Macaca mulatta: one gene and its partners. The protein of the gene in region 1 purifies or fractionates together with the protein of each later gene. This does not show direct contact. Links are inferred from orthologs where the notes say so. Each region holds a gene or a part of one and is shown on either strand. Other genes may lie near its edges. The genes, in order: FYTTD1, NXF1 and DDX39B.

What was found.
Region 2: the proteins of FYTTD1 (region 1) and NXF1 purify together in Homo sapiens (affinity purification with western blotting; 3 studies listed by BioGRID and IntAct, with this or other methods). This does not show direct contact. The link is inferred for Macaca mulatta from reciprocal best matches to the Homo sapiens genes FYTTD1 and NXF1.
Region 3: the proteins of FYTTD1 (region 1) and DDX39B purify together in Homo sapiens (affinity purification with mass spectrometry; 5 studies listed by BioGRID and IntAct, with this or other methods). This does not show direct contact. The link is inferred for Macaca mulatta from reciprocal best matches to the Homo sapiens genes FYTTD1 and DDX39B.

Annotation. Positions count from the first base shown.
Region 1 is NC_133407.1:1,160,209-1,163,858, forward strand, and holds part of FYTTD1 (UAP56-interacting factor), read right to left. Parts: intron 3,600-3,650; coding exon 3,525-3,599; intron 2,134-3,524; coding exon 2,007-2,133; intron 1-2,006. UniProt on the Homo sapiens protein: Required for mRNA export from the nucleus to the cytoplasm. Acts as an adapter that uses the DDX39B/UAP56-NFX1 pathway to ensure efficient mRNA export and delivering to the nuclear pore.
Region 2 is NC_133419.1:11,261,749-11,264,815, forward strand, and holds part of NXF1 (nuclear RNA export factor 1), read left to right. Parts: intron 1-409; coding exon 410-517; intron 518-632; coding exon 633-691; intron 692-801; coding exon 802-917; exon of another isoform or gene 918-931; intron 932-1,040; coding exon 1,041-1,083; intron 1,084-1,922; exon of another isoform or gene 1,923-1,956; coding exon 1,957-2,029; intron 2,030-2,525; coding exon 2,526-2,708; exon of another isoform or gene 2,709-2,754; intron 2,755-3,067.
Region 3 is NC_133409.1:150,789,348-150,793,491, reverse strand, and holds the start of DDX39B (spliceosome RNA helicase DDX39B), read right to left. Parts: upstream 2,927-4,144; coding exon 2,716-2,926; intron 1,687-2,715; coding exon 1,559-1,686; intron 1,293-1,558; coding exon 1,200-1,292; intron 1-1,199. UniProt on the Homo sapiens protein: Involved in nuclear export of spliced and unspliced mRNA. Component of the TREX complex which is thought to couple mRNA transcription, processing and nuclear export, and specifically associates with spliced mRNA and not with unspliced pre-mRNA.

The DNA of each region.
Region 1 (3,650 bases):
TATCCCCAGGTGTGGTGGTGTGTGGCTGCATCCCCAGGTGTGGTGTGTGCCTGTATCCCCAGGCGTGGTGGTGTGTGCCTGTATCCCCAGGTGTGGTGGTGTGTGGCTGCATCCCCAGGTGTGGTGTGTGCCTGTATCCCCAGGCCTGGTGGTGTGTGCCTGCATCCCCAGGCATGGTGTGTGTCCCTGTATCCCCATGTGTGGTGGTGTGTGCCCTCCCCAGGTGTGGTGGTGTGTGCGCCTGTATCCCCAGGCATGGTGGTGTGTGCGCCTGTATCCCCAGGCGTGGTGGTGTGTGCCTGCATCCCCAGGCGTGGTGGTGTGTGCCTGCATCCCCAGGCGTGGTGGTGTGTGCCTGCATCCCCAGGCGTGGTGGTGTGTGCCTGCATCCCCAGGCGTGGTGGTGTGTCCCTGCATCCCCAGGCGTGGTGGTGTGTGCCTGCATCCCCAGGTGTGGTGGTGTGTGCCTGTATCCCCAGCTACCCAGGAGGCTGAGGTGGGAGGAAGGATCGTTTGAGCCTGGGAAGTCAAGGCTACAGTGAGCTATGATTATGCCACTGCATTCCAGTCTTGGTGGCAGAGCGAGACCCTGTTTCAAAAAAAAAAAAAAAAGTCCTAAGGAATCTACAAAGTCAATACAAAAGTAAGTGAATTTAGCAAGATTACAGGATACAAGGTTAATATGGTTAATACAAAATTGTCAATGTGCTTTTTGACTTTTTTTTTTTTTGGAGATGAGTATTGCTCTGCTGCCCAGGCTGGAGTGAGTGGCACGATCTCAGCTCACTGCCATCTCTGCCCCCTGGGTTCAAGCAATTCTCCTGCCTCAGCCTCCCTAGTAGCTGGGATGACAGGCACCTGCCACCACACCAGGCTAATTTTTGTATTTTTAGTAGAGACAGGATTTCACCATGTTGGCCAGGCTGGTCTCGAACTCCTGACTTTAGGTGATCTGCCCACCTCGGCCTCCCAAAGTGCTGGGAACACAGGCGTGAGCCACCGCGCCTGGTCGGTTTTGACAATTTGTTATTATCCTTGTATCCTGTAATCTTGCTAGATGGCTATAGTCAAACAGCAGATAACAGTGAGTATTGGTGAGGATATAGAGAAATTCAGAACCCTCATAGACGCTGGCGGGAATATAAAGTTGTAGCACAGACTCTTCTAAGGAAAACAGTCCAGCAGTTCCTCAAAAGATTAGATAAAGAGTTACTATAAACCGGCCGGGCGCGGTGGCTCAAGCCTGTAATCCCAGCACTTTGGGAGGCCGAGACGGGCAGATCACAAGGTCAGGAGATCGAGACCAGCCTGGCTAACATGGTGAAACCCCGTCTCTACTAAAAATACAAAAAAAAATCTAGCCGGGTGAGGTGGCGGGCGCCTGTGGACCCAGCTACTTGGGAGGCTGAGGCAGGAGAATGCCGTGAACCCGGGAGGTGGAACTTGCAGTGAGCTGAGATCCGGCCACTGCACTCCAGCCTGGGCGACAGAGCGAGACTCCGTCTCAAAAACAAACAAACAAACAAACAAAAAAAGAGTTACTATAAACCTAGCAATTCTACTCCTAGGTATTTACCAGGGAGAAATGAAAACAGATGCTCACACAAAAACTTCTGCGCAAATGCTCAGAGTAGGATTATTCATAGTGTCCGAGGAGTGAAAACACCCAAATACCCATCCAGTAACGAAGGAATAAATAAGATGTGGTATATACATATGATGAACACTGTTCAGCAGGAAAACAAAATTAAATACGGACACAATATAGATGAACCTTGAAAACATTATGCTAAGTGAAACAATTCAGTCACAAATATATACTGTATGATCTGATTTATATGAAATGTCAAAATAGGCAAACTGGCAGACAGAAGTGGGTTAGTGGTTCCCTAGGTTTCAGGGGGCAGTTAGGATACCTTGTTTATAATTCACGATTATAATAAATGTTTTGTTAATTAAAATATTCTCAGCAGATGACCCAAGAAAATACAGAAAATGTTTTTTACCTGTTTTCCGACGCTGTTTATGTCAAACTGTAGGGGAACACCTTTAGGAACTTTCCGGGCGTCACTTTGCTCCCGCTTTGTTAAAAATGAAGGTGCAGCAGTGCGAGTTAATCGTGGTTTCTGAGTTCTATTAGAAAAATATTAAAGTATCAGAGCAGCTTAACAATGAAAGGAAAAATAAATTAATTTGGTACTTAAGACATCCTGTACACATGTTCAAATGTATTAGGGCCATTTTATTTGTGTTTTCAAAAAAACGGTGTCATTGGCTACTCTATACTAAAATATATCATTGTTCAGAGAATACCTCTTTAAATAGAACTACAAACTTTTCAACAAGTTGGAATGTTTGGTGATTCCTAACTCTTGATCTTCCATTAAAATAAAGCAACCTCTAAAGTCCTAGGCACCCATCCTACACTCTTTTCATTTCAATCATTAAGATGGCTGGATGGCTACGCACTGTGGCTCAGGCCTATAATCCTGGTACTTTGGGAGGCCAAGGCAGGAGGATCGCTTGAGGCCAGGGGTTAGAGATCAGCCTAAGGAACATAGCAAGACCCCACCTCTACAAAAAAAATTATAAAATAAATAAAATAAAATTAGCTGGGTGTGGTGGTGCATGCCTATGTTCCCAGCTACTCGGAGGCTGAGGCAGGAGAATTATTGAAGCCCAGGAGTTCGAGGCAGCAGTGAGATATGATGGCACCACTGCACTCCAGCCTGGTCATCAGAGTAGACCTTATCTCTTAAAAAAATCAAAGAGATGCTTGAATAGAACATAAGCTCCATAAATCGACAACGTTTATAAAGCAATAAATTTAAAGAGAAGGTAGGTCTGTATGGTCTGAAAAATAAAGACATCAAAAATATTACAGGCATTGGGGGAAGAAGTAGCATGTATACTGTCATCTCGTTTATTATTGTACATAAAAATACACATATTGGGTCAGGTGCAGGGCTCTCGCCTGTAACCTCAGCACTTCGGGAGGCCAAGGTGAGAGGACTGCTTGAGTCTAGGAGTTCAAGACCAGTCTGGGCACAAACAAACAAAAAAGCCAGGTGTGGTGGTGGCACCTGCAGCCCCAGCTACTCAGGACTCATGGTGGTGGCACCTGCAGTCCCAGCTACTCAGGACTGGGGAGGCTGAGGCAGGAGGATTGCTTGAGCTTGGGAGGTCAAGGCTGCAATAAGCCATGATCATGGCACTATACTCCAGCCTGGGTAACAGAGCCAGACTTTGCCCCCAAAAGAGGGTACATATGATATACATGCACATAATTTTTAAAATATTAAAAAACACTGTTCAACATGGTCATTTAGGGCTGCAGAATCAGGAATCCAGAAAACTCTTCCTTTTAACTTTACATGACACTGTTTCCATATTGTATCACAGGCATTACTTCTGCCTGGTTTATCCTCACTTGGACATCATTCTCTGGGCAGAAGTCTAATACTTTCTTATGATCTTGTGTAATGAGAGGTTATAATTTTTGCAAAAAGAAAGAAACAACTTACACTGGGCATTGAACTGCTCCAGGATTGTCAATAGATACAGTCAAAATCCCTCCATTTGTGGTGGAAGTCCGCCATCTAGTATCAAAAAAAAATAAAATTCACTAAATGTAAGTTGATAAACCCTAT
Region 2 (3,067 bases), on another chromosome or scaffold:
GCCCGTCTTGGCCTCCCAAAGTGCTGGGATTACAGGCTTGAGCCACCGCGCCCGGCCAATTTTTGTATTTTTCATAGAGACGGGGTTTCACTGTGTTGGCCAGGCTAGTCTCCAACTCCTGACCTCATGATCCGCCTGCCTTATCCTCCCAAAGTGTTGGGATTAGAGTCATGAGCCACCGCGCCCAGCCATTTTGTTTGTATTTTTAGTAGAGACAGGGTTTTGCCATGTTGCTCAGGCTGGTCTTGAACTCCTGGGCAAAAGCTGTTCATCTGCCTCAGCCTCCCAAAGTGCTGGGATTACAGACATGAGCCTCCATGCCCGGCCACAACTCACTCTTGGGAGCTACTGGGTCCTTTTATGGCTCTAGACCACATAGTTCATACTTTCTCTTTTGATTTTCCCATAGGTACTATGCAATTTATGACTCTGGAGACCGGCAAGGGCTCCTGGATGCCTACCATGATGGGGCCTGCTGTTCCCTGAGCATTCCTTTCATTCCTCAGAACCCTGCCCGGTGAGTATCACATCCCAGAATCTCCCCGGGACCACTGGGTTTCCCAGCAGATACAAGGGAGCACCTGCTGGCAGCACTGCTCTGAACACCACGTCCAATCCTCTTATTCCCCCAGAAGCAGCTTGGCCGAGTATTTCAAGGATAGCAGAAATGTGAAGAAGCTTAAAGACCCTAGTAAGTGTGTGATATGAACAAAATACGATGGGAAAAGGGCATGGGAAGGAATCAGTCATAGAACTCAGGAGTATGTGGCAGCACCGCTGAGCTTTCTCCTCCACCCACAGCCTTGCGGTTCCGGCTGCTGAAGCACACGCGTCTCAACGTTGTTGCCTTCCTCAACGAGTTGCCCAAAACCCAGCATGACGTCAATTCCTTCGTGGTAGACATAAGCGCCCAGACAGTAAGCTCCTGTTGGTGCCCTGACAGAAGCCTAAAATTGGGGTGGGGGTGGCATTTAATAGACAAGGGGGGGCACTCAGGCTCTGAGAAGTGTACATTGTACCCGATGCTGCTTCTCTTTCAGAGTACACTGCTGTGTTTTTCTGTCAATGGAGTCTTCAAGGAAGGTAAGAATCTCTGGAGTCCTGAGTTTGTAGCATGGTCCCACCCCCAGCTGGAATTTTCCTCAGCACTCTTAGCCTCCCAGCTACTTTCTCTCCCATTTTCTTTTTGAGCTCCTTCTCCCATTCTGAACCCAAGCCGTCTTGGCTTGGCCTGCCTCTCCACCTGTCCTTTCTGGCTATGGGAAAAGCCTGGGGATTAGGAGGACTTTGGAGTCAGGCAGTTCTTAGTTTCCATCCCAGTTTTGGTTGTGTGGGGCTGCGGACAAGTAACATTACCTCTAAGACAGATTCTTTATTTGTAAGTTGGGGTTAAGTAATAGCCATCTCATAGTGGTGCTATAGGAAGTAACTGAAGTGACTTACAAAGTGCTTGGCCTGGGGCCTGGCACACAGATGCTATCAGTGGATTAGTAGTAATTACTTTTTTTTGAGACGCACGCACGCACTCTGTCACCAGGCTGGAGCGCAGTGGCGCAGTCTTGGCTCACTGCGACCTCCGCCTCCTGGGTTCAACTGGTTCTCCTGCCTCAGCCTCCCAAGTAGCTGGGCCTATAGGCGCGCACCACCACGCCCAGCTAATTTTTGTATTTTTAGTACAGACGGGGTTTCGCCATGTTGGACGGGATCCACCTGCCTTGGTCTCCCAAAGTGCTGGGATTATAACCATGAGACACCACGCCCGGCCGTAGTTATTACTATTGTCCTTTCTGACCTGACCTTTCACCCCACCTCTGCTTCCCTTATACCCTTATATACTTAATCATCCCTCTCTGACCCGCTAGGATTCTTTGTATCAAAGAAGACCATGATTCAAGAAGCTGTTTGTAAACATAAAGCACTAGTGACCCTAAGGTGTCGTTGCTGTTCTCATTGCAGTGGACGGAAAGTCCCGGGATTCTTTGCGAGCCTTCACCCGGACGTTCATTGCTGTTCCTGCTAGCAATTCAGGGTAAGTATTCTGCTTTTCACATTGGATACCAGTCCTAATCATGGCCAACAGTGTGGTAATTGGAAGGTAGAGTCAGTCTTTGGGGTGATTTCAGAAAGGCAACAGGAAATCAGGGAAAGCTCACATAGTAGTTAAGAGCAAGTTAGTTAATAGCTTGGCTCTGGAATTGTGCCGTCTGGGTTTTCATCCTGGCTCCACCACTTCCAGCAAGTAGGCTGCTGCCTCATCTGAAAATTCATTTAACAATATTCACTGCCTAAGTTTGTCGTGAGGATGAATAAAAGAGCTAAGAACTGTCCATGGGTTGGGAGAACTCTAGTGTGTTTGGTAGATAATCCTTCCAAACATTGATTCCATGGGAGGGGATAAATGATAAAAGGTAACAATAGCTAAGGGGGGAGGGAGGGACCTTGTGGATATTGAAAGAATCAGAGAATAGGAATGATGGGAGGATGACGTTATCTGTCTAGCTTTTTAAGTGCTCTTTGTCCTCAAGGCTATGCATTGTAAACGACGAGCTATTTGTGCGGAATGCCAGTTCTGAAGAGATCCAAAGAGCCTTCGCTATGCCTGCGCCCACGCCTTCCTCCAGCCCAGTGCCCACCCTCTCTCCAGAGCAGCAGGAAATGTTGCAGGCATTCTCTACCCAGTCTGGCATGAACCTCGAGTGGTCCCAGAAGTGAGTACTGGGCATGTGTAGGACGGGGTGAACTGAAGGAGGGCTAGTAGTAAATAATGAGAGCTCCTGATGGTTTTTTTGTGTGTGTTTTTAGTTTTTTTTTATAGAGACAAGTTCTTGCTCTGTCATCCAGGCTTGAGTGTAGTGGTGATCATAACTCACTGTAGCCTCTAACTGCTGAGCACAAGCTATCCTCCCACCTCAGCCTCCAGAGTAGCTGGGCCTATAGGCATGTGCCACCTTTTTTTTTTCTTTTTGAGATGGAGTCCTGCTCTGTTGCCCAGGCTGGAGTGCAGTGGTGCGATCTTGGCTCATTGCAACCTCTGCCTCCCAGGCTCAAGCAATTCTCCTGCCTCAGC
Region 3 (4,144 bases), on another chromosome or scaffold:
AAACCCCATGAAATTACTGCTTTGGGTGAAATATTATCACTTCATGTTAAAACCATTAGGTGAATAGTTGGTTAGGGATCTGGGCCTTGGTACAGTGTCAAATAACACCAGAAACTCTAGTTTTAAGGGGGAAAAGAATGACCATGGAATCAGACTGTCACGATGCTAATCCTATGGTAAACCTAAAGTCACTAATGAGGCCAGGCACAGTGGCTCACACCTGTAATCCCAGCACTTTGGGAGGCCGAGGTGGGTGGATCACTTGAGGTCAGGAGTTCGAGACCAGCCTGGCCAACATGGCGAAACCCTGTCACTACCAAAAAAAAAAAAAAAAAATTAGCCGGGTATGATGGCACACTGTAGTCCCAGCCACTCAGCAGGTTGAAGCAGGAGAATCGCTTGAACCTGGGAGGTGCAGGCTGCAGTGAGCTGAGATCGCACCACTACACTCACAGCCCAGGGGACGCAGCAAGACTCCATCTCAAAACAAATAAATAAAAATAAAAATAACTAACATAAGTCAACCCGATTTCTGGCATAACAGGAGATACAGCATCACCTATGAAGGATAATTGCCAAAAATGCTTAACTTCAATCAGATTTTTTTTTTTTGAGATGGGAGTCTCACTCTGTCACCCAGGCTGGAGTGTAGTGGCACAATCTCAGCTCACTATAACCTCTGCTTCCTGGGTTCAAGCGATTCTCCTGCCTCAGCCTCCCAAGTAGGTAGGACTACAGGTGTGTGCCACCACGCCCGGCTAATTTTTGCATTTTTAGTAGAGACAGGGTTTCATCGCATTGGCCACACTGGTCTCGAACTCCTGACCTCAAATGATCCACATGCCTTGGCCTCCCAAAGTGCTGAGATTACAGGTGTAAGCCGCTGCGCACTTGGCCAGAATCCTCAATATTCACACACCCCTGAAGCTGTTTTAAAGTTTCTGGCTTTCTCTGCCACACACCCCAAAATTACCAAACTGATAGGATTCAAAGTCAGTATAAAGTAGTAAAAAAAGGGTGGTCTCGGTTAAGCATCATCCATAGCCCAATTACGAATCCTCCCGTTACATAGGATCTTAACACTGTTAAACCATGGCAAACTAAAACTTCTCCAAAATTAAAGAGACTACTGGCCTACAAGTTTCTTATCCCTCCAACTTGCCACACCCTCACTCTGAGGTCTCTTTACCTCGGCTTACCTTGACATTGGGCATGTATTTAGAGAAGCGCTCATATTCCTTGCTGATCTGAAAAGCCAACTCCCGAGTGTGACACATCACCAGCACAGACACCTTAGGCAGGAAGTAGACCGAGACATACCATGAGTGTAGCCCTTCATCGTTCCCTCTAGGGAAGTGACTGACAAAAACACACCTGGGCCGATAATAAATGACTTCAATTCTGTGATCTAAATCACGAACCCCATGCTTGGATAGAACATTCCCCACAGCTGTCAGGTTGTCAAGGGTAACCGAGGTCATCATGTAGCTAGGACAAAAACACCCTTCCCTTATAGTCCTAACCAAAACCCCTTCCCCAGCACTCTCCCCAAATATACCTGCCCAGTAACTGGCTCCAGCTGTTGCAGTGTGGCCAACACAAACACTGCTGTCTTTCCCATGCCCGACTTGGCCTGGCACAGGACATCCATTCCCAGAATGGCCTGAGGGATGCACTCATGCTGGACTAAAAGTAGGGAGGAAAGATAAATTAGACTTCAGTCTCCAGATAACTCTACAACCTTTTTCATCATGCCAAGCCCATTTCTTACCACTCAATTCTCAAAATCTAGTATTTACCTGGTTCTTGCCAACTTCCAGACCCCTTTTTCCTCTCTCTGCTCAATTATATTCACCTCAAAATCAGACTCTCCTAATTCATCCCAGCTTTGGCCTCCTCCAGATCTAGGCCTTCCCAGTCCTACTAACAGCCCCCTTGCATCTACCAACCGCTCACCTTCAATGCTCCTGGCTCTGTCCTTATTTTTCTTAATCTGTAACAATTCATGACATCTGAATACCTGCTAAAGACATTTCTCCTACTTAGGTTGCCATACTTCGGGTCACATAACAACAACCCGGGACAAAATGAAGGACTTGGTACCTGACCCAGAAGCCAGTCATCTCTAAACCAGTCATAGAGGTTTCCAGAGGCCACAGTTGGCCTGGCCCAACAGAGGGAGACTACAGGTCCAATCAGGACCTTTCTGGAAATTTAAAATTACAAGTCAAATGACAAAATTAAAAATAAGCAGACAAAAGAAGTCAGTCACAAGAATGAATGGCAGACCTAGAAGCTACTTTTGGATAATTAGCACTTTGGTGCTATCATGAAAGAAAGAACAAGTCTGTATAATCCTCCTCTATCCAAAATCGTTTTCGATACTTATCTCCTGATTTTTTTTTTCCTCACTGTCTCCCCGGCTGGTGTACAGTAGTGCAATCACGGCTCACTGAAGCCTCAACCTTCACCTGCTTCGTTTAGTAGAGACAGGAGTCTCCCTATCTTGCCCAGGCTTCTCTTGCACTCGAGCTCAAGTGACCACCCCTCCTGCCTTGCCCTCCCAAAGCGCTGGGATTACAGGCGTGAGCCCCTGCACCTGACCCTGATCTAGCCTTAAGTATAAACTTTTACCACCTGAGCAACAACAAACACATCTTTTTATTGTACCCTTAAAGAGCCCAATGAGCACTACATGCCCAAGAGAAAATTTACCTTCTGACGGATGCTCAAAGCCACAGTCGACAATGGCCCGGAGCAACTCTGGCTTGAGCAGGAAGTCACGAAAGCCAGAGCTGTGGATGGAGACATAGGAGCCCTTGACATCCTTCTTGGCAGGGGCCTCAGCCCCATCTCCCCCAGCTGCTGTCTCCACCTCATCATCTTCATAGTCCAAGAGCTCATTGTCCACATCGTTCTCTGCCATAACTGGGCCGGCAGGGGAAGACGGGAAGGGGAATCTGGATGGGTTCTCGCAAAACAGGTGAAAACAAGGGGTGAAGAGTAGGGGATTGAGGAACAGCAAAGGAAAATAAAGATACTATTTCTAACAGAAGAGCTGGGGAGGGGGAAAAAAAAAAAAGCAAGACTTAGTCACGAGCAGAGCCTTCACCACCTCTTTTCCATTCCCAGTTCCCACTTTCCCTAAACTAGGAAACTTTTACATGGAAAAAAAAACAGATACACAACATAAAAACGAAAAGCAAATACAACAGAACAGAAAAAGCAGCACCAGCGAAAGTGGTTAGGACACAGGTTCCCAACAAGATTAGCAATCACAGTAGCGGAAACCAGAAAAGTTGGAAGGGGAAGACCAACTTATAAATTCTTAATCTGAAAATAAGTGAGGAAATATAATAGATAATAAAAGATAAAATATGATTAATAACTTAGTAAAGTGGAAAATGGAGATGACAAGCAGAGTCCTGGAAAGTCCTCAAAGGAAGACTGTGCTTTCCCTATTATAATCCCACCGTTATGGATGCCTAACTCAGCAGCCATCAGTCAAGGGTGATAGATGAGGGTCATCACTGCGCAAAGCGCTCATCTTTCGAAAAGAAAACATCATATGGCCGCCGTCCACCTCCCATAGCTCTCAGCCTCCCACTTCTCAGTATCCTCTCTTCCGTTGTTTAAGAAAGCCTTGTGTAATTAGCATGGGGGGGAGGGGCGGTGCAAGACAAATGGCTCGGCCACCAAAAACAAAAAAAATCCATGTCTCCACCCTACAATAACAAAGTTAATAGTTGACAGAGAAAGGCAATCCCCGCCCAGGCTTTAACAGGATCTTTACCAAGTGGTCTGACATCACTGTTGCGCTACGAAGGTGAGACTCCTTTTGGAGAAACATACAATGACACCAATAGTAAACACTTGTAAGGCACTCCAAATTAACTTGGGCGAGTCAAGGTGAGAAAAATCCAACTGGGCCCAAAAACCGGCTCCTCCTCCCAGTCCCACCGTGGGCCAAGAAAGGGCTCAAGAAAGGACAAGTAAGGTGATAAGAGCCCCGCCCTCCGCAAATACCAAGACCAAGGGACGCCTAGCGCCGCCTCTCATTGATGCTGAGGCCTCCAATATGAAAAGAACCTACTGGAAGAAGGGAGCAAAACGAACACAATGGCGCCGAGGACACCATCTTGGA